Diceros bicornis minor: one gene and its partners. The protein of the gene in region 2 interacts with the protein of the main gene of each other region in a biochemical or structural test. Links are inferred from orthologs where the notes say so. Each region holds a gene or a part of one and is shown on either strand. Other genes may lie near its edges.

Region 1 (3,747 bases), on a different chromosome or scaffold from region 2:
AAGCTTGCTGAATTGAGTCAGAAGACACATTACTAGTTATCTATGCGGTCTTGGGCACTCATCTCTCTGGCCAATGCCTCACTTTCCTTACTATAAAATGAAAAAGTGAGGCTACTCTGGTACGCAGCAATGTTTTAAAAGTTTGTGCACTAAAGGTTATAAACTCACAAATAGAATATTAACTTTATTTATAAATTCACAATAGCTAGATTTTCCGAGAATCTAAACTTCTCTCATTTTTCAGAATTTTTAAATTTAACTTAGAGAAAACTGGATGTCACTGAATCTCCTTGAGTGGCCAAACCAATCCCACTCCAACTCTTTCCGCTTGTCTACCTTGAGGCACCTCTTAGAATGACACACCCAAAGAAATATTTTCAACTCCAAAAGCATTGCTAAGTAAGATATATTTTGCTGAAGGCTCTTCCTTAAAATCCTCTTTTATCTTTGCTCTTTCCCCAAAGTTCTTCCCCCCAGGGTAGTAGCCACATTTCTTTCTCTTTCCTATTTCCACCAATTTCTCTGGCCTCATCTCCACATTTTCTCAAGATTCTATTTCCTTGTACCCAGCAAAACAAACTGTCCAGGAGTAGGCCAAAACACACACCAACGAGGTCCCAGTTCATAACAAATCTTAATATGGTATTTTACTTCCAACTCCTTTAACTTCTAATAAACCCATGATCTGGAAATTCTACTAGTTCAACTGATGAAGATTTTATAAAACATCCTTCCTATCCAGTTTTCTCCCCTGCCCTGCTCCAAAGCCACTGCCATATGGAACCAATATAACTGATGAGAGTAAGCTATATGTAATGAAAGTAATCTCACGTTTGTTTCTATCTTTAGTGTATCCCATGTTCAATTCAGAGGCTAACTGGAATTCCACAGCAAACATTATTAAAAAGTACACATCTCATACCCAACTTCCAAACTGTGTGATTTTGATTTAGATTCATTTGATTATGAAAAGAACAGTATTATTTTAGCCCACTTAGTTTCTTAAAGTGTTCCAAGTTCTTTAAACATAGCATCTCAATCTTTTGTCAACAAGCAGAGTACAACTTACTTGCCAGAGGAGGAAAATCAAATGAAGGAAAAAAAGGGAAGCTTCTTATGTAGTTAAAAGCAAATTTCTGACATCAGTCATTAACCCATGCACTCATCTAGACAACGGAATCTAAATTACCATGAGGTTATCATTGATGATCATTTACCCAGAATCAGTGATTTAGTATGACAACACCATTTTTTAACGTCAGGTGCAACTGTGATTTTTCAATAAATTTATCTTGACAAAAGACATTCCGTAAAGAATAACAGACTACTAAGACAGCAAAGGTAAAACCAAGCTATGCATTAGGAAAAACAATTCTAAATTTGGCACCCTAAATTAAAGCAAGGAAAGCCCTCACACCACCATTCACAAGTCTCAATTCAAGCAATTTATTTTTGGCAAGTCAAATCACAGCTGTCAACGCTGTTTTTTTTGCACCCCAAAATTACATAAAGTATTTTGAAAAAACGTAGACATCTTCAACTAGGGGAAAAGTAAATTACAAATGCCGTGTGTCGTTATAAATGCGTTTTTTTAAAAAAGTCACACGGAAGGGGGTTAAAAAAAAAAACAAAAGCAAACAAACAAACCCTGGAAGATGCAGCAGAGCCCCCTTGCTCCCGAAATAAAACTCCTGGTGGCTGTAACAGCAGCGGCAGCGCTACTCCCGACAGAAGTTTTCAGCTGTCACTTCTAACAGCTGAGCGCTTCCTAGGAGAGAAGCGACAGGCCGAGAAGAGAGGTGGTTGTGGGAGGTCTGAAGATTTAATACTTGAAATCTTATACTCCAAGGGAAACCCTTCCGCACTTCACCTGCACTTACGGGACACCCAGCAAGCGCAGTCCCCCTCCCCCCAACACATGCTTACACCACTCGCGCCCCGCCACACTCCAGTCCAACAGCTCGGGAAATGCAACACACGCCCTTTCTCGTTCCCTCCACAGACAGACTGCTCCAGGCTGCGCTGATCTGGGGCTAGGGGCGCGACCTGCACCTGCGAGCCCCTCAGCGGCCTCACACCTAGGGCCAGGTCCGCCCCGCCCGCTCCCCTGCCTCGGGCCGCGCGGCGCCTCAGCTCCTCCTGGAGACTACTGGCGCCCCCCGGGGTCTCCACGCTCTTGGACGCGCCCGGCTTCCAGGGCCCGCGCTGCCGCCCTGGCCCTGTCACCTCGGGCCCCCCGGGACCCCGGGCCTCACCCCCTCCTCCAGCTCATCCTCAGAGCCTGCGTCCTCTGGCTGGTCCAGGTCTATGTCGAACACTCCTGCCATGTCCTCAGCTTCCCTGTCTCGGAAGTCCGGCGCTGGGTAAAAGCCGTCCCGCCTCCGTCGTCGCCTCATGGGCCCGGACCCGCCGCAGCCACCGCCGCCGCTGCCGCCATCACCGGCTGCTTGGGCTCAATGCGTCTGCGCCTAGGCCCTAGACTGGCTCCTCAAGTTCAGCGCTAGAGCATGCGTACAGGGCTCTGTGAAGCCGAACTGTGGGCAATGAACATGCGTAGAATTATCGCCAGGAGCCAGGTACTGGCGGAAACATGCGCAGAACCCCAGCCGAAGCCTCTCTTGGGAGCTAGATCATGCGCATTTTCTGCTAAATCTTTGATAGACAGTGAGCATGCGTACCATGTCTGAAGTTGATAAATTGAATTTGAACATGCGTAATTAACCTTTCTGAATAGGAAAAAAAATACACAACAAAACTCTTCGTTTGTGGAACATGCGCATTCGTTCTCCGTAGCTTTTTGAGTTTTGAAAATGAGCATGCGCATAGTGAGAGGGTTGGCCCTCCGACATTTGAACAGGACGGAAACCGCTGGTCCTGGGGCTGTCAGTGAGTGGGGTTAATGGGGCTAGTGGGGAGAGGGAGAGTCTTGGCTTTGCTATTTATTATTTCAGTGCCCCTACAAAAGTCACATAATTTTTCAGAGCCTCAGTTTCCTTTTCTGTAAAATGAGAATAATGATACCTATTTTGCAGGGTTGCTTGAAAATTGGCTCACAAGCCACTGCTCCTTTCCAGTGCTGCATAGACCTGGTGTGAGGTCTTTATCAAAAATTGTCTCTTTTCATTGTTAAAAATAGTGAAGACTTGCTCTAATGTTTCATCTGGTTTTCTTTTTCCAAGTTTCATCTTCCTGTCCTACCTGAGCTAAACACAGTCTTTGTTATAAGTGTTACTATAGTTACCAGACCAGAAAGGTGGTTGATGGAGAGAGAGAGTCATTATTTAGAGGAGAGAAAATTAATGTTAATTAAATGTGGGATTGTTGAGCTAACTTCTGCCTTCTATGTGTCCCTGTGGTGTGAAGTGTATACTATGAATTCCTTCAACCAGCATTCATTTTATTTTATTTTGTTTTAACTGCATGCTTAGGAAAAGAGCAATTACAAATCAGATTTTGGAAACTATTGAGCTGTGTATCATTGGATTTGGGTACAGTAAACCCAAATCCCGAAACCATATAGAGAAACAGAACAAATTCCTTGAATGCTTGTCTCCTTAGACAGCGTAGCTATTTAATCTATAACACCATATACATATGTGGCATTTTAAAATTGTTTTTGTATTGATGTATATTAACACATATGGCATTTTATTTGTTCGTTATTTTTTAGTAATGTAGTGGTTCTCAGAACCTATATTTTTCTATTACAGGTTGCTCACTTTTTTCAGGAAACAGGCCTCATTTGTG
Region 2 (3,747 bases):
ATATGAATGCATATTTTATCAGACTCCAATTGTGAGATATTTAGGAATTTTCAATGTTTATTATAATAAACAGAATGTATTTAAAAACTGAGATGTCAAATTCCATTTTTAAAACTGATTTTTTGAAGGGATGTTTTAACAACCATGCTGCTTGAAAATTATTTACGAGTGGCTCATTTAGTTCAAACTTGGCTATGGTTTCTCGCGAATGATCTTGTGAGCTAGATAATTTTGGAAAAGTGGGAAAATCTAATTAAAAGCGCTTTCAAATGCATATTACACTTAACAAAAGAGAAATCACGGGTACATAAGTTGAGCTAGTCCGAAAACTTTAGGTCTTTTGCTCCAGCAGCTACCGGGCACCGGCTTCGTTCACACTCTGGTCTCAGAATTAAACCGGGCGGGGTCACGCACCTTCGCCCACCCCTCGCGGTCCCATCTCACCGCACCACACAGCGGACTCCGCGCGGCTACAGCCCCAGTGCCGAGGGGAATTATAGTAGCGACGCACCGGATGTGTGCGTGGAAGCCCCCGAAGTCAACTCACGACCGATTGGTCCTCCCGAGCGAACCTAAACCTCCTTTCTCCTGCCACTGGTCGCGTGGTTTGTCTATTTGAACAGTCCCCGCCCCCTGGGGAAGCCGGGTCCCGAAGCCCCACTGCTCCTTCATTACTATTGGTCTGTGTTCCAGTCCATCTTCTCTTACGCCTGTCGATTGGTCCTTAGCAATAGGAGCCCGCCCTCACTCCCGCCCCGGCTTAGAGGACAGCGGGCCAGGCGGGTGGTGGGGCCGGGGGCCTGAAGTGGCGGTACCGGCGCTGGCGGCGGCAGCTGAGGCCTTGGCCGAAGCCGCGCGGTGAGTCTGGGGCCTGGCACCGACCCCTCCACGGCGGCGGAATGTCCTGACCCTCGGCCGGCGTGGTCCGTGGGGGGGCCCCGGGAAGTCGCCTGTCTGGGACGTGGGGTCCCCTCAGTACCGGCCCCACGGACTTGGGCGCCGCCTGAGCTCTTGACCCCCGCCCCGCGAGGCCACGCCCACCTCCTCCCGGACCCCGAGGAGAGCCCCGCACCCTGCAGCCTGCCGTGGTCTCTGGCGCCGCGTAGACCGGCCCATCGGCTCCGGACCTGCCGGGACGCCTTGGGGTCTCCGTGCCCGTCAGCCACCCCTTGTTCTGAGCCGCCTACAGATGTCCTCAGAGAGGACCAGCGTCAGTGTCGGCCCCGCGCAGTGCGCCCCGGAGCCTCTCGAGGACCCAGTCCCGGGGTTGAGCTGGTTCCGCTGGGTTCGTCCTCGCCGTCTGCCCGCCCCCATCCCTCATCTCAGCCGCCCAGTGAGCCCTCGCCAAGACCCCTGGGGTGTTGGGCTCCCAGTATTTTCATCGAATTCTGTCTGGAGCAGATGGCCGGTGGGCCTCAGACCTTGTAAAGAGGTACTGGGTCTTTCCTGAGAATGGAAATTCCTCACCAGCCTCCCCCCATCACGGACACCCCACCCTCGCTCCATAGTTGTGTTCTCATCAGGGATCCTTGGGTTTCCTCTTCCCGAAGAATGACATTTCCTTCTGCAGTTTTTGTCTTGGCACCAGAGTATTTAAAAGCTTTTCAAAACCAGTTCTTCCCTGTTTTTTCCTCTGCATCTCACAAATTATTCCAAAAATAAGAATTTTGAAAAATTGGTTTTCTAGTATAATCTGAACATTCTTGGGTCAGGTGTGCGTTTTACTTCCATAGCAGTCTCGGCTGAGCCCTGTTATGTCCACTTTATTGTGGTTGCCTGATTATTTATGTTTCCCTCTAGATCCTGAGCTCATTGAGGGAAGGTACATAACTGAGGAATGAATGCGTGATCTCAGGAACTGATCAGTCTGTTTTAGCTCACATTCCCAGTACTAGTATTCTGTAGAACTGCACTGTCCAGTACAGGAACCACCAGTCACATGTGGCTTAGCGCACTTGAAATGTGACTAGTCCAAACCGAGATTGCCGTAACTGTAAAACGCACACGAGATTTTGGAGACTCAGAACAAAAAAAGAATGGAAAATATATCAATGATTCTTTTATACTGATGACACGTTGAATATTCTATATATGAGATTAAATAAAATGTATTAATTACACCTGTTTTTTTACCTTTTTTGATATGGCTACTAGAAAGTTTAAAATTACATTTGTGACTCGTATTATATTTCTGTTGGACAGTGCTGCTACAGAATAATAACGTTTCCCTCTTTAAGTTGAACTCCTTGAGGAAAGCGGCAGTCTTAGACAGATTTTATTCTCTCTCGACCTCCCTACCTCTAGTACCTGGCGCTGTGCCACGTACGTAGTAGTAATAATGATAATAATAGCTAACAATTACGGTTACACTGTGGCACTGTTTTAAGCACTTTTCAACATGTATTAACTCGTTTAATCCTCACAGCAACTCGATGAGTTGGGTGCTATTATCCTCCTATTGCAGTTGAAGAAACTGAGATGTTTTAAGTATCTTCTTCAAGGTATATAACTTTGAACTGGATTCAGACTCAGTCCGGCTCCACAGCCCACAGTTTGACCCTCTCTGCTACCCTGCCTCTTTTACACAGCAGTCATTGTTAAATGAATTGAGGCTTTCTACACGTTCCTCAGTGAGGTCTCCCAACCTGTTTTAGGATCCCCTACCTGATGGGCTGGGTGGAAATTTGTGTTCAGGAACTGGGGCCATAAATAAATTCATCACCATAGTTTGTTATCCAGAATATTTAAAGGAAGCTTCTCTCCATAGAACCTCAGGGCAAGATGCTGGGAACCGGGCCTGCCGCCGCCACCACAGCTGCCACCACCTCTAGCAACGTGAGCGTTCTGCAGCAGTTCGCCAGTGGCCTGAGGAGCCGGAATGAGGAGACCAGGGCCAAAGCTGCCAAGGAGCTCCAGCACTATGTCACCATGGAGCTTCGAGAGGTCGGGGCTTCTGTCATTTGGGCCAATCGTCATGGAGTGTTTGGGCTAAATGTACCATCACTGGTTTAGATTCCTTTTGACAGCTAAGTAAGGATTCGGAAAATGTAGAGGTTCTGTTTTAGAAAGGCACCCGATTTCTCATGTCCAAAGAATGTGCAGTTTCCTTTGCAGTGGTTACACATTTCCGTGGCCTTTCTTGTGTTGTGACATTTTAGGAGTCAGCATAGAGTCAGCTGTTTTTTTAAATTTTTTTCTTTTTCCCATCACATTCTAGACCCTCAGTTCTTTCTGCCTGATAACAGTGGTTGGGATGGGTTTGAAGAGGTGATAGCTTAGGGCTTTCTAAATAGAGACCAGACTTGAAGTCAGGGACAATGTCTTGTTCATCCTTGTACCCCTGGTACTAGGTAGAACCTAGGACAGGACGTGGCCTGCCATGGAGTAAATACTCAATATGTATTTGTTAAACAGGTGAGTTGTGAGTTCACTTGCTCTACAGTTTAAAAGTATGGAGTTGGGCAGTAGCTTTGTCGTCTTTGTTTTGAAATGTACCTGCTGGCCACTTCTCAGGTCTGAATCTTTGGAAATCCCCCTGCCACCCCCCACCACCACCATAAGGAAGACATTAGAAATTGTTCTGAGTATATCTTCCTTTGCAGATGAGTCAAGAGGAGTCAACTCGCTTCTATGATCAGCTGAACCATCACATTTTTGAACTGGTTTCCAGCTCAGATGCCAATGAGAGGAAAGGTGGCATCTTGGCCATAGGTAAGGACAGAGTCTCTGATGACAGTAACAACTAGG
Region 3 (3,747 bases), on a different chromosome or scaffold from region 2:
TGGCTTTAGGCTCTTGGCACTGCTCTTTCTTCCGGTTGGCCTCAGCCTCCTGGCTTTGCTTCCAATCTGATCCGTCCCCATCTAGCAACAACGGGTGCAAAAAAGGGCTAACTTGAGCATTCAGGCCTGCCTTAGTGCCCACTCTGCACAGATCAAGCAGAGAGTCACATCACTCGAAGGAACCCTAAAATGGTCAGGAAAGGTCCTGAAAGACACATCATGACACAGAGAAAGCAGAACAGCGTGGACTACAAAAGGCCCAGCAGGGAAAGAGAACGAGTCAAAAGGGGCAAGAAGAGTCACTGGGAACTTCTCCTTGGATCGTTTTGTTGTTGTTGTTGAGGAAGATTCGCTTTGAGCTAACATCTGTGCCAATCTTCCTCTATTTTTTGTATATATAGGACGCCGCCACAGCATGGCTGAGGAGTGGTGTAGGTCCGTGCTTGGGATCTGAACCCATGAACCCGGCCGCCAAAGCAGTGCACGCTGAACTTCACCACTATGCCACAGGGCTGGCCCCCCTTGGATCATTTTTAATAGAAGAGAGAGCATTTTTCCCCCGCAATGCTTGGCTGCTATTTCTTGTTCAATCTGGGAAAACAATGTAACGTTGGACAATGGACACGTGTTTTCAAGCTCTGGGGCCTCAGTGCCATGTTCTGTAGAATAAGGCAGCACAGCCCCATTTGAGGAAAGCATCCTAGGAGCCTGTTTGGAAAACAAGGATTTTTGAGAGATGCACTAACATTCTGCCTCTAGACTGTTTCCAAACTTTTAAATCTACAGATCTCAGACTTGAGCTGCAACATCCAACTGGATTTCCAGCCTCCAGCCAGCCCTGCTCTCTTCAGACTGGCCAGCCCCCACCTTCCAGATAGACATGAGCCAATTTCTTAGTCTATCCTGTTGCTACTGTCTCTCCTGACTAATAGGGATTTTGTTCAATCCAAGGGAGACTCTGTCAGCAACCAAGGACCTCAGTTCAGTCCTGAACAGGTTTTTCCTCCAATTACAACCCAAAGTTTTACATAATGTCTTCCTGTCCCTATATCATTTACTTGTGCCTCTAAAATGTGTAAATGTTTGTAGACAGAATTTTTACCTCCCCTAGAGTTTCTAATTGTTACATTCTATGTCTAATATAACTTTACATTTCAAAAATCTCGTCATAAGACCAGCATACACATATGCTATTTAATGGTGAAATTTAATAAAGTACAATAAAACGTGAAAAACTGCCTACTCTCCCCCTCCCCTCCCTCCTTCCCCCTCAAAAAAAAGGCAGCACGGTTGGACGAGAACATCTAAGATCCCTAACAGTCCTAACGTTCTATGCTTTGGATCAAATAGCCCAAGACCTCGCAGCTGGCTGCGCTCGCTGGCGGTGGGACAGCTGCCTGAGAAAACAAGCGTGTGGCCCCCGACGCTGGCAGATGAGGCTGCGCCCCGCCCGCGTCCGCCCGCACCCCTGCCTCTCAGCGGAGCGCCAGGATCGGCGGCGTTTCTCGAGTAGTAGCCCGGGCAAGAGCAGTGGAGGAGGGTGTAGGGGAGGAGAAAAGGGCAAAAGGGGGTGGGGGCAGCGCTAGGATGGGAGGGAAGTGGTGAGCCACGAGGATTTCATCATGCAAACCGGCGGGCAGGTTTCATCAGCGCCTGTGCGCCTGGGCTCCCGGGCTGGGACGGAATGCCTGGCTCCCCGAGGACAGCCTGAGGCTGGCCCCTACCCGTGCCAGCTCAGCTTCCTCTTCCTCATCCACTCTCAGGGAGGTCACACGGTCCCCCTCCCCCCGAACAGAAGAACGTGTCTTTCGGCACAGTGCTGCCCGCGGCCCCAGGTCCCTCTGTGGAGATCCCATATGCGTAAATGGGCAATCTGCCACAGAAGCCGGCTGCAGCAGGCGACCACTCTCAGCCCAAAACCTGTCAGGGGGTGCGTGCCCAACGCAAAACAGGGGGGGCCTCGGGAAGGAAAAAGGACTCTGCAAGAATCATTTATCCCAAAAGAGAACGCCCATCCCATCCCTAAAAACCCCAGGCCAGGCCCCTCTTTGATCTGTGGGCCGCCCTGACCCCACCCTATTCCGCCCCAGAACTGTCCCCAACACCCACAAGGGGCAGCACACCTCAGCATGTGGCAGTCCTAATATCTGTTAGGGTGGAGGACGCTCAGCTGTCTCTCCCAGAAGGAGGAAATTTAACGGGGCAGTTTGCAGCCCCGGTTCTGGAGGACGCACTCAGAGGGCAGGCAATGGGAGGCGGCCACCCGCTCGCTCCGTGACCCTCGCTGCCTCCTTGATGCCCCTTCCCAGTCACCGCGCCCCCAGAGCCTGGCCGCCCCGTCCAATTGGCGATTCCCGATCCCTCCCGCTCTGCCCGCTCCGTCCTCCCACAGCCCGCAGCCGAGCCCGCGCCTACCTCCCGGGGTGGTGCTGAAGAGCGTGCCGCCGGGGGTGGTGCTGTAGTCCCCAGGCGGCAGCTGCACGCCGTCGCCGAGGACCACCCGGCGAGTGGCGGGGATGGCCCGGCTTGGGGTCTGGCTGCAACTGCTGCCCCGGGACATGGTCACCGCGCACCGCGCCCGCAGCCGGAGCGTGTCCCTGCCGCGGCTCCCGCCCCGCTCCTCCCAGCTCCAGCCCGCCCCGCCCAAACCCTCCCCTTCCGCTTCTTGGGCTCGACGCCCCCTGGGATTTGTAGTTCCCGCCGCGGCTGTCCCACCCAGGTCCACGCAGCTGTTGCTCGTGGGTTCCTCCGCAGCCCTGGGTCGGAGGGCCCCTACTGAGGGTCTCCTGCCCGCGGGTGCCAGCGCCACCCCCCATTGCTTGTCCCTTTCGCTCCCGGCTCCCTCCCCGCCACGCTGGCAGGGGCGGGGTGAGGTGGGGGGTCGGGAGGCCGGCCTAGGTTAATGCCTCGCTGAGCTGGGGAGCGTCCAGGGCTGTGCGGCGATCCTAGCCGACCTGGCCCACTCTGGGAAGACCTAGTTTCTACATTAGGACATCAGGGTGGATGGTCCCCTCAACCCTCCCTGTTCCGTTCTTCCCTATTCATTCCTCAGATGAAAAGGCAGGGATTGGTTGGTCTTTCACCCCCTCATCGGTTCATTGAACACTCACGATGTGGCAGGCTTTGAAGAAAAGGCGAAGAACGCACCTTCCACGCCTTCGGAGAGAGTGAGGAGGACACGCGGACAAGCCACCCAGTTGGGTGATAAGGGCTAACCCTAGAGCCGAGGTGGAGGTGGGGTTGGGGGAGGGGTAAGACTCGGTCAAAGAAGGTTCCTTGTAGTCCTTTGAGTTGGGTCCAACGCCCCCCACGCTGCCTGACTGTTTAGTAGGCACACCTTGAATGAATGAAGGGACAAATGAATGACTGAATGAATCTTCAAGGAGATCACCGAGTGGAGAGAGAAAAAATGCACGGAGGATGGAAAAGCCGGGTCGGGTGAGAGAACAATGCGGCCACATCTTGGAAGGGGGAGGAGAGAGGAGAACAGTTTAAAAGGGAAATTGGGGCCGGATTGTGAGAGGTCGTTTGTTATTATTTTTTAAAGCTCAGTGGTCAAACAAGGGGTTTGTTTTGTTTTGTTTTTTTGAGGGAGATTGACCCTGTGCTAACATCTGTTGCCAATCTTCCTCTTTCTTTTTTCTCCCCAAAGCCCCATTACATAGTTGTGTATCACAGTTGTGGAGTTGTAGCTCTTCTATGTGGGATGCCGCCTCAGCATGGCTTGATGAGCGGTGAGTAGGTCCA

What was found.
Region 1: of the proteins of MTOR (region 2) and RPS6KB1, one has a biochemical effect on the other in vitro, tested with the Homo sapiens proteins (18 studies listed by BioGRID and IntAct, with this or other methods). The link is inferred for Diceros bicornis minor from reciprocal best matches to the Homo sapiens genes MTOR and RPS6KB1.
Region 3: of the proteins of MTOR (region 2) and EIF4EBP1, one has a biochemical effect on the other in vitro, tested with the Homo sapiens proteins (29 studies listed by BioGRID and IntAct, with this or other methods). The link is inferred for Diceros bicornis minor from reciprocal best matches to the Homo sapiens genes MTOR and EIF4EBP1.

Annotation. Positions count from the first base shown.
Region 1 is NC_080757.1:28,016,921-28,020,667, forward strand, and holds the start of RPS6KB1 (ribosomal protein S6 kinase beta-1), read right to left. Parts: upstream 2,444-3,747; 5' UTR 2,397-2,443; coding exon 2,256-2,396; intron 1,747-2,255; exon of another isoform or gene 1,648-1,746; intron 1-1,647. Other genes in the region: TUBD1 (tubulin delta chain), read left to right, coding at 2,811-2,886, 3,711-3,747. UniProt on the Homo sapiens protein: Serine/threonine-protein kinase that acts downstream of mTOR signaling in response to growth factors and nutrients to promote cell proliferation, cell growth and cell cycle progression.
Region 2 is NC_080752.1:30,490,974-30,494,720, reverse strand, and holds the start of MTOR (serine/threonine-protein kinase mTOR), read left to right. Parts: upstream 1-775; 5' UTR 776-858; intron 859-1,114; exon of another isoform or gene 1,115-1,432; intron 1,433-2,767; 5' UTR 2,768-2,781; coding exon 2,782-2,943; intron 2,944-3,602; coding exon 3,603-3,711; intron 3,712-3,747. UniProt on the Homo sapiens protein: Serine/threonine protein kinase which is a central regulator of cellular metabolism, growth and survival in response to hormones, growth factors, nutrients, energy and stress signals.
Region 3 is NC_080768.1:34,699,917-34,703,663, reverse strand, and holds the start of EIF4EBP1 (eukaryotic translation initiation factor 4E-binding protein 1), read right to left. Parts: upstream 2,593-3,747; 5' UTR 2,561-2,592; coding exon 2,416-2,560; intron 1-2,415. UniProt on the Homo sapiens protein: Repressor of translation initiation that regulates EIF4E activity by preventing its assembly into the eIF4F complex: hypophosphorylated form competes with EIF4G1/EIF4G3 and strongly binds to EIF4E, leading to repress translation.